Linked DNA regions of Ovis aries. The protein of the gene in region 1 purifies or fractionates together with the protein of each later gene. This does not show direct contact. Links are inferred from orthologs where the notes say so. Each region holds a gene or a part of one and is shown in the gene's direction. Other genes may lie near its edges.

The links.
Region 2: the proteins of SNRNP70 (region 1) and RNPS1 purify together in Homo sapiens (co-immunoprecipitation; 7 studies listed by BioGRID and IntAct, counting the BioPlex papers as one, with this or other methods). This does not show direct contact. The link is inferred for Ovis aries from reciprocal best matches to the Homo sapiens genes SNRNP70 and RNPS1.
Region 3: the proteins of SNRNP70 (region 1) and NCBP1 purify together in Homo sapiens (affinity purification with mass spectrometry; 3 studies listed by BioGRID and IntAct, counting the BioPlex papers as one, with this or other methods). This does not show direct contact. The link is inferred for Ovis aries from reciprocal best matches to the Homo sapiens genes SNRNP70 and NCBP1.

Annotation. Positions count from the first base shown.
Region 1 is NC_056067.1:55,357,321-55,359,938, forward strand, and holds the end of SNRNP70 (U1 small nuclear ribonucleoprotein 70 kDa), read left to right. Parts: intron 1-1,129; coding exon 1,130-1,217; intron 1,218-1,296; coding exon 1,297-1,957; 3' UTR 1,958-2,115; downstream 2,116-2,618. UniProt on the Homo sapiens protein: Component of the spliceosomal U1 snRNP, which is essential for recognition of the pre-mRNA 5' splice-site and the subsequent assembly of the spliceosome. SNRNP70 binds to the loop I region of U1-snRNA.
Region 2 is NC_056077.1:2,301,091-2,304,557, reverse strand, and holds part of RNPS1 (RNA-binding protein with serine-rich domain 1), read left to right. Parts: 5' UTR 1-98; coding exon 99-169; intron 170-410; coding exon 411-566; intron 567-1,173; coding exon 1,174-1,365; intron 1,366-1,552; coding exon 1,553-1,655; intron 1,656-1,940; coding exon 1,941-2,094; intron 2,095-3,467. UniProt on the Homo sapiens protein: Part of pre- and post-splicing multiprotein mRNP complexes. Auxiliary component of the splicing-dependent multiprotein exon junction complex (EJC) deposited at splice junction on mRNAs.
Region 3 is NC_056055.1:49,996,060-49,999,711, reverse strand, and holds part of NCBP1 (nuclear cap-binding protein subunit 1), read left to right. Parts: intron 1-1,155; coding exon 1,156-1,259; intron 1,260-2,700; exon of another isoform or gene 2,701-3,393; coding exon 3,394-3,516; exon of another isoform or gene 3,517-3,652. UniProt on the Homo sapiens protein: Component of the cap-binding complex (CBC), which binds cotranscriptionally to the 5'-cap of pre-mRNAs and is involved in various processes such as pre-mRNA splicing, translation regulation, nonsense-mediated mRNA decay, RNA-mediated gene silencing (RNAi) by microRNAs (miRNAs) and mRNA export.

The DNA of each region.
Region 1 (2,618 bases):
GGCAGTATATATACTAGTGTTTTATGTTCTGTTTCTTTCTTTTAAAGAAATGGTTGGTTGCATCCTGTCAGATTTAGTGATGTGACTCCACTGCTGGGTTGTGATCTGAACATGGAAAGCACTGGTCTGTTTCTCCGCATCCTTGCTGGGTGGCTTGTCCTCTGTTCGGATGTTTCATGTCCATGTCCAAGCTTTTGACCCTCATTGCTGAAAGCTATTCCTTAAATAGCTTCAGGAAACTCCCTTCCAGGCAGTGGGGGCAGAAGACTGAGTGAGAGGGCAGCTTCTGGAGTTAGCGGGGAATCACGTCTCTGCTCTGCCCTTTCTTGCCGAGTCACCCTGGGCAGGTGGCTTTTCAGCCTGCGTTTGTTTCCCACGTGAAGGAGGAGGGTAACTGCTGCTGCTTCCAGTTGTCCTTGTCGCCATTTGCTCGTCCAGCTTTTTATCGTGGCTGCTGGTCCAGCGTCCTGATGGAAGGCGCAGTACAGGCTAGAGAGGGAGGCAGCTGTTAATCAGCTCTCTCTTGAACGTGCGTGTACACACACATAGACGAAATTGGAAACTCCACCTGAGACACACACGTGAAATCGGAAACTCCACTGAAGTTCTGAAGCCAGTGTGTGGTCTGTGAGTGGAGAAGGGCCTCAGCTGGTAGGTCAGGGCAGGCGGAGTGAGGAAGTGAGGTGTGGGTTAAGGTGCGGAGGGTAAGTGGGAGTTAAGTAGAAAGGAAGGTGAGACTCCAGGGGAACGGGTGAATGATCCCCAACACTGGGCAGGAAGGACATGGAGACCATGAAGAGGTTGGAAAATGCCTGGAACCTTTAGAGCCAGGGGCCCTTGGGCTGAAAGACAGGGAGGAGGCCGGCCTCTGACCTTGGCTTGGGCGGTGGGCAGCCACTGCCGGCTTTGAGGCGGGTCAGGCTTCAGTTAGAAGGATCGGGGCTGTGTCTCGGGCGGGAATGACCGGAGGAGAGGGTCTGTCAGGGGCTGGGGCCTCCCCGGTGGGGGAGGTGAGCCCGGAGCCCTATGAGGGCGCGTCCAGCTGGCGCTGTGACCTTCTGATCTCTGCACTGCCCGCCGTCTCGGGGTCCCCACCCGCTCTGACCCGCCTGTGTCTGCCCCTCCCCAGGAGGCGGCCTGGGCGGCACCCGGAGAGGCGGGGCGGACGTCAACATCCGGCACTCAGGCCGGGACGACACCTCCCGCTACGATGAGAGGTGAGGCCGGGCCGGGTGTCCTGGGAGCGGGGCGGTGAGTGGGGGAGCCCTGCCGCAAACCTCTGCCCACCTCATCCAGGCCCGGCCCCTCCCCGCTGCCCCACAGGGACCGGGACCGGGACCGCGAGCGGGAGCGCCGGGAGCGAAGCCGCGAGAGAGACAAGGAGCGGGAACGACGACGCTCCCGCTCTCGGGACCGGCGGCGGCGCTCTCGGAGTCGCGACAAGGAGGAGCGGCGGCGCTCCAGGGAGCGGAGCAAGGACAAGGACCGGGACCGCAAGCGGCGCAGCAGCCGGAGCCGGGAGCGGGCGCGGCGGGAGCGGGAGCGCAAGGAGGAGCTGCGCGGAGGCGGAGGCGGAGGCGGCGGCGGCGACATGGCCGAGCCCTCCGAGGCCGGCGACGCGCCCCCGGATGATGGGCCCCCCGGGGAGCTGGGTCCGGACGGCCCGGATGGCCCAGAGGAGAAGGGCCGGGATCGTGACCGGGACCGACGTCGAAGCCACCGCAGCGAGCGGGAGCGGCGCCGGGACCGCGATCGCGACCGGGACCGGGAGCACAAGCGGGGGGAGCGGGGCGGCGATCGGGGCAGGGATGAGGCCCGAGGTGGGGGTGGCGGCGGCCAGGACAACGGGCTCGAGGGTCTGGGCAACGACGGCCGAGACATGTACATGGAGTCCGAGGGAGGCGACGGGTATCTCGCTCCGGAGAACGGGTATTTGATGGAGGCTGCGCCGGAGTGAAGAGGCCGCTCGCCGGCCGCTTGGACGTGTTCCTACTCCCCCTGCTGTCATCCTCTCCCCCACCTTCCTGGTCACCACCTGAATCTGCCAGCCAAGGGTAGGAGTCTCCTTATTTGTTTTGGTCTCTTGGATTTAAAAATAAAATTTCTTGTTGATAATGGGCGCTTGGTTTCTTCACTGCTCTTACTGTCTTCCCCAGGAGGGTGTCACCTTCTGACTTAGATGGCCCCACTCTGGTGTTCCAGGACAGGAGCTGTATGAACTAAAGGCTAGGGCTAGTCCCGGATAGCCAAGCTGTTGAGAGTAAGGAAGACCTCCTTAAGGGTCCTTGATGCCTTGCTTTTTTTCGGTGCTCCCACACATTTCTTGTGGAGCTGTTCATACTCCTATCTTAGTGTGGGGATGGGGCTCTGGGCCGTGTTTTCACGAAGCGTGAGAGCGAGATAAACAGGTAAAGAGAAGAGACAGGCTTGCCTATAAGTGGTATTGGGACAACTGGACAGCAGCTACATGTAAAAGAAAAAAACATTTTCTTAATGGCCATATACAAAAATAAGATGGATTAGGGCTTCCCTGGTGGTCCCGTGGTTAAGAATCTGCCTGCCAATGCAGGGGACATGGGTTTGACCCCTGGTGTGGGAATATCCCACATGCCAAGGAG
Region 2 (3,467 bases), on another chromosome or scaffold:
TGCAATCGATTAGGGATCGTTTCTCAGACTCAAGTTAGACGTGAGAGTTCAGATAAGTGAGGCCGCCATTGCTGCTTTGAACACCTCAGAAGGGGAGAATGGATTTATCAGGAGTGAAAAAGAAGAGCTTGCTAGGAGTCAAAGAAAATAATAAAAAGTCCAGCACTAGGTAATCCTTCTGTCAGATTTTTCTAGTGCTACTTTCGGGGTGCTCGTTGTTAGGGACCCGCAGAAAGGGGGACATTGGAAATATCTTGAATTTTACAGTGAAAGTGTCCTAAGCCACAGACCCTTTTGCTCTGTGGTGGCCTGGGGTTTCTGTAGCCCTTTGCATCCCCTTTTGGGTTGTGCTGTGGTTTCAGGGTTCAGCCCAAGGGGCATGTCATCTCACACTCTCCCTCACTGTCCAGGGCGCCTTCTCCCACCAAACGCAAAGACCGCTCTGATGAGAAGTCCAAGGACCGCTCTAAAGATAAAGGGGCCACCAAGGAGTCGAGCGAGAAGGATCGTGGCAGGGATAAGACTCGGAAGAGGCGCAGTGCTTCCAGCGGGAGCAGCAGCACCAGGTGGGGCTGGCAGGTCAGGGCCTTGCCAGGGCCTTACTTCCAAGGCCATGGCCCTCTTCTTTCCCAAAGAGCCTGCAGAGTGTTCTTTCTTTTTATTGATAAAGCACTCAGATTACTAATTTATGGCAGACTGGTTTGGGCTTTGCTCTGATCATACAGAGGACGGTGTTGGTATGTTTGGTTGTTTTCTTTTTTGGAGGCATTAGGAATGCAACATCTTGAGTTATGCTTTTTTCTCGCGTGCTTTTGATTTGGAGTTGTGGTTGGATCATCCTAGCCTGGCTCTTTCCTTTTCCTTTTGTTGAAAACCAGCCTGTGTCAGTCAGTAGCTGCCTTCCAAGCTGAGCCGGGGGCTCTGATTTCCCAGACTGCTCCTTTTCCTCCCAGTAGGCAAGGCTTCTGTGTAGGTAGGAAGCAGTCCTGTCACTGCATGGTACATATGCTGTTTCTGTCCCTGCAAGGGCTTTGTTAGGATGGGGCTGGAGGGTGTCCGTGGGTGCTGGGGAAAGCCTTGAGGCTTGAGAATACGAGCCCAGTGGTTCCCCTTGACTTGTCTGCAGTGAGGCAGCACTGCTTCTACCGGTGACCCCTCCCTCTCGGCCCTCAGGTCCCGGTCCAGCTCTACCTCCAGCTCAGGCTCCAGCACCAGCACGGGCTCCAGCAGCGGCTCCAGCTCGTCTTCGGCTTCGAGCCGCTCGGGAAGTTCCAGCACGTCGCGCAGCTCCAGCTCCAGCAGCTCCTCCGGCTCCCCGAGCCCTTCTCGGCGCAGACACGACAACAGGCGGCGTTCCCGCTCCAAGTGAGCCCCCTTCCAGCCCCTCTTCTCCACGGGGGACTGGTCAGTTCAGGGGATTACCTCCAAGACTCATGAGTTATCTGGGATCTAAGTTTACAGACTGGGGCTATAAGATTACCATTAGTTATTACCAAAGTAGACCAAAAAAGGAGTTTCACTGTCTTAATAGGATTTTGTATTTTTCAATTAGGTCCAAACCACCCAAAAGAGATGAAAAGGAAAGGAAAAGGCGGAGCCCTTCCCCTAAACCCACCAAAGTACACATTGGGCGGCTCACCAGGAATGTGACCAAGGTGAGGAATCTGCTTCTGTCCAGTGGACATTGGGGTGATTCTTGCAGATGTTTAAAATGGAAAATGAGAAGCCCGCCTCTGCCAGAAGGTAAACGTAGAATGCAGCATTTCTGGGGGCTGAGTTGGTGGCATGTGACCAAGTAGAGCACTGGTTACTTCCTTTTAACAGAATATATTTTGTGTGTGTGCTTAGGGTGCTGAGGGTGTGGTCATTGTGTGGCGAGTTCTCTGACTTCTACACAAGTGAAGGGAGGGTGAGCCTAAGTGACCCTTCTTCCTCCCTAGGATCACATCATGGAGATATTCTCTACCTATGGGAAAATTAAAATGATTGACATGCCTGTAGAAAGGATGCACCCCCATTTGTCTAAAGGCTACGCCTATGTGGAGTTTGAGAATCCAGACGAGGCTGAGAAGGCGCTGAAGCACATGGACGGAGGTAAGTCCAGCCTTGCTCTGACCTGTCCCAGACCAGCTGCCCACCATACCTGGTGTGATGAGAACCGATTTCCAGTCTGGCTGCATGTGAGAATTTCCTTGGAGCTCTGTCAAGATTCCAGTTCTTACTCAGTGGGTGTGTCTTTACCAAAACCATGTTTTACAGAGCATTATTCTTGAAAAAGTATTCATCAAATATGAATATATTAGCATTTTAAGAATATTTCAATCTGTTAAAACTTAAGGATCAAATGAACGATTTTTTTTTTCTTCACAAAGTATTTGACTATAATGAAACATTTTTATATGGGAATGTTTTCTTTAATCCTGAGTTACTTTCTGTTTTGCTAAAACTTAGCATTTTTAAGATAACTTTCTAAATCCACAGATTTTACCTCTTCCTAAAATGCATCCTAACTGTTGATGACGTTTACAGCCACTTTGTATTGGCTTTGACACCCTTTGAAGGACTGAACATTTGCCAGTTGTTTTGCATCTCGAATAGGCAGCATTTTAAGGAGTATAGGTTTCGCTGGACCCTTGCTGCTTCTGTCCTCCAGGCAGCTGAGCTGAGCCAGGAGTGCCCGAGCCCCACGTGGGCTGCCAGGCCGAGTGGGGGGAAGAGTCTGAACCCCTGAGAACCTTGGCATCCTTGGAGGCCCTTTTACATGTTTGAAAGATAATTGCCCTTGAACCCTGGTAGAGTTTGTATAGTACAAAATTTTCCTTGGTACTTCTCTCAATCTCCTTAAATCCCCCTGGAGTATTTTTAGGAGTTCAGCATAAACTGGGATCTGTCACTGTGCAGGCATCAACTCTTATTGAGTCACGCCTTTGTTTTAGAGATTGTCAGTCTTGTGTTTGATGGAGTCTGAGCACTTGCTAAAAATTTAGGAGGCTTAGACACATTCAGGATGTGTGTGATGATAAATATTCCACCTTGTCTTAAGATTCTGGTAGGACTTTTTCTCTGTCTCTTTGTATTGTGCGGAATGGAACCGATCAGTCTCCAGAAAGAAATGGAAGGGCTTGGTTTTTACTGGCAGGTAGCTAGAGGATGAGAGAAGACAATGGCATCCTACTCCAGTACTCTTGCCTGGAAAATCCCATGGACAGAGGAGGCTGGTGGGCTGCAATCCATGGGGTCACGACTGAGCAACTTCACTTTCACTTTTCACTTTCATGCATTGGAGAAGGAAATGGCAACCCACTCTAGTGTTCTTGCCTGGGGAATCCCAGGGGTGGGGGAGCCTGGTGGGCTGCCGTCTGTGGGGTCGCACAGAGTCAGACATGACTGAAGCGATTTAGCAGCAGCAGGTAGAGGATGACCTTTCTCCTTTTTTTCCCTTTTTTTTTCTTTGTTGTTACATAGTC
Region 3 (3,652 bases), on another chromosome or scaffold:
TCAAGTCTCGCATTATCCACCACTAAAGATGTTAATCTTAATTATATGGCCACGTCAGGCTTCTCAACCTGAAACTCCCCATTTTTCCCTTTGTAGTTGATTAATATTTTGTGGGAAATATCCTGAGGTAACACTCCCGTCTTACATCATATCTCCACTGCAACTCGTACTTTTATTTGCCACCACTATGATGATCCTCAGGTGATGATTCCCTTTTTCTGTTATTCTTTCTACATTTATTAGTTTGCTTTCTACTGTAAGAAAGAGCTTTCCTTTTTTACCTGTTTATTAATTCCTATGTTTGTATATCAGTAGAGACTATTTCATTCAGTGGATTATAATTCATTACTGTCATTACTAATTTGATGCTTAAATTGCCCCTGATTTGTCCACTGGGAGTCCTTTGTGCCTTCTGTGTCTTTTTTTCCTTTCTTTAATGTTCTCCCTCCATTCATTGAGCATTTCCTTATTTCTGGCACAAATGTTCTGGGCTCTTCTTATGTTTCCTTGCCCCCTTCCTGGAATCATCTATTCATTCAAAGAGGCGGAGTTTCTTTTAGTGGAGCATGGTATTTAAGTAGCAAGGTCTGGACACTTGATGTGTTCATTGCTATTGGGTGTTACTGGTTTTCCGCCCTCTAGATGGACAAGCATAGTGAATATCTTCATGCACACATATACCCATACATACATAAATCTGTTTTTATATCCACCTAGATGTGTGTATCTTTCCAGTTCCAACCCAACATATCATTTTTCTTCCTAGCCTTCCCCTTTGCCATGATTTCTAAATACCTTGGCAGACATTAAGAAACTTGTCTCCCACTGTCTTGATAAGTATTTATTACAATATAACCAATCTCCCAACCATACAAACTGTTTCCTTCACCTCATCCCACCCTACCATCACCACCTCACATCCTTGGCCACCAGGCTTGTGGACCCACTGGCCCACATCTCAGTACAAACCAGAAAGTTCTGAAGAAGACGTGAGTTCTGTTGTGCTGGCCCAGACAGGAGTTAAAACGACTTGTTGCCCCTTTACTTCTTGGTTGTCAGCTGAGTGCAGGGTGTTGATCTTCTGAGTAAAGTGGGGTATTACCAAAGAATGAAACTGATGAATGGTATTTTCTGAGGCTTTTATTTATATTGTAGGTTGTCTTACCATCAGCGTATATTAGATTTTGTCCCTCCTACCTTCTCAGCTCTATGTCCTGCAAACCCAACCTGCATTTACAAGTATGGAGATGAAAGTAGCAGTAAGTAATGAATCCTCTGTTTTTCAAAGGTACTAATGCAAATATTAAGTCAATTATCTAAGGTGGAGAAAGTGAATTATTTCTCTTCTTGGGTTTATATTTTCTCTGTTTGAAAGGTGATTTCTCACCAGCCTCTGTTGTTTTATTTGCCCTGTCAATAATTTTAAACATTTACTGTGATTTCCTTAGTTATTACTGTCTTGTAACTGTTTTTAATATTGTTTATAATGATTCATGAGATTTTAAGTGGTGTTAAGTATAGCAAGATGAATTTATAGCCAGAACTTACTAAAATGAAAGTATGTGTTTGTCATGGCAATTCTGATTACATGAATCGATTTATCATCTGCTCACAGTACAGGCGTGGGAACGTAGGTGCACACAGAGGCTATGTTTTACCTGCAGTGTGCCTCTAGTCTAGAAGTAAATTCTTAAACATACTTTCTTTCTTTTTGGTCATGCCACTTCTGAGATTTGCACTGTAAATCAAAGGGACTGTTTAATTTGATATGCCATATTGTGCGTTACGCTTAGTGGAGGGGAAGGCTGTGCACCGGTGAGCAGTGGTAGAGGCAGGTGTGGAGTTCCCGTTAGTCTTTTTCCGCGGCACTGTGCTCAGCTCCTCTGTGAGCCTTCCACTTCATGTTGTGTAGCAGTTCTTTGTATCTTAAAACTCATTCCTCTCGCTTGCTTTCTCACATTGCACCCCTGCTTCTCCACCTGCACTTCAGACCACACCTGTTTTCCTTGAAACAAAACCCGGTTCCAGGGCTGCATATTCCATTTCCTATGTTACTGTGTCACTTATTCCTTAAAACAACTCTTGAGAAATAGGTATGTTTCTAACACCAGTTTTACAGTGAGGGAATGGCTTCAAAGAGGTAAAGCCCAGACTTAAATACTGAGCAGCCTTGTTCTTGATCACTGTGTTTTCTGCAAAAAGCAGAGCTTGATGTGGTACTTAGAAGTGCCACATTTTGATTTCTGCTTTGTACTGGCTCAGAGAACCATAAGATACAGTCTTTGATATCAAAGAGTTCAGACTTCTGTTGAACACTGAGCTTTCTTTTTTCCCCACAGAAATAACTCAGCCTCCAGCCTAGCGTTTAAGGCCCACCTAAACTGTTGTTTCTACTTGACGGTTTGTCATTTCCACTCCAGCCAAGCCCACTTTGTTTTTTCCATGCTTCTCATTCTTGGTTTTACCTTTGTTTGTACCATTATCCCTTTCTATTCTCTGATTCCTGTTCTCTCTTCAGGATCTAGCCCAAGCTCCACTCTTGTAAATATTTTCTTAACCTTTAGCAAGCCAGTTTCGTGCTACTCTCTGGCTACTTTTTATGTGAGTATCTTGGTTCCTTATCTAGAGTGTAGACTTGTCGATGGCGGAGGATTTTTCTTCCCTTTCTCTCCCACTTTCAAGAAAAGTACAGAGCACATGTGAATTGTTGGAACTGACTTTATTCATTACAAATGCTTAGTAACTCATATTCTGTGTCAGAATTGCCTTTTTTGCTACCTCTTTGTCTACCTTACATTAAAAGTAGATTTCCAGTTGCTCTGGTGATGCTGTACAACATGTATTAGCACAGATTGTATACAGTAAGGACCTGACAGATACTAACCAACAGTAACCATGTGGAGTCACAGCACACAAGCATCTGGCTTATGTAGATTCACGAACGTGGATTCAGCAAAAGAGAAAAGCAAAGAGTCTGTCTTAAGTTGGCAGCCTGCACCTTGTTCAAACCCAAAATTAGTTTCCACTGTATTAGGGAAAAGGAGGATCATTGACCAAAATGAAAGAGAAATACATTGATTCTCAGCCTTTCAGCTTAGAGGCCTAGGGATTTGAGACCATCAAAGGAGAGTTGCAGCTGTGTTTCCTGAGGAAGATCCATACTTGCCTCACACTCTGAATTTCAATTATCTCCATGTTCTTAAGGAAGTGTTGAGACAAGAAACCTATTATGCCTTATTTTAGGTGAAAAGCCATTGACATATTGAATGAAACTTTCATATGTGATTATCTTTATATAGAATAAATATTGACCTTAGGATAGAGAGTACTCTGTTGTTAAAGTAATTTTTAAAAAGTTTTTCAGTTATTTAACTCTTTGCATTCTGTGCTTAGACTCTCTTCCCGGACATTCAGTTGCCCTCTGTTTAGCTGTTGCCTTTAAAAGTAAAGCAACCAATGATGAAATCTTCAGCATTCTCAAAGACGTCCCTAATCCTAATCAGGATGATGATGATGGTAAGGGAATTAAATATTTGTTGAATGGAACTATATATGGGCCAGGTTTAAGTAGAAACATAATTCTCATACAGTGTATTTGTTTAGCCTGACAGCCTGTCAGTTGTTATTCCCCAGAACACAGGTATCTGTTCCC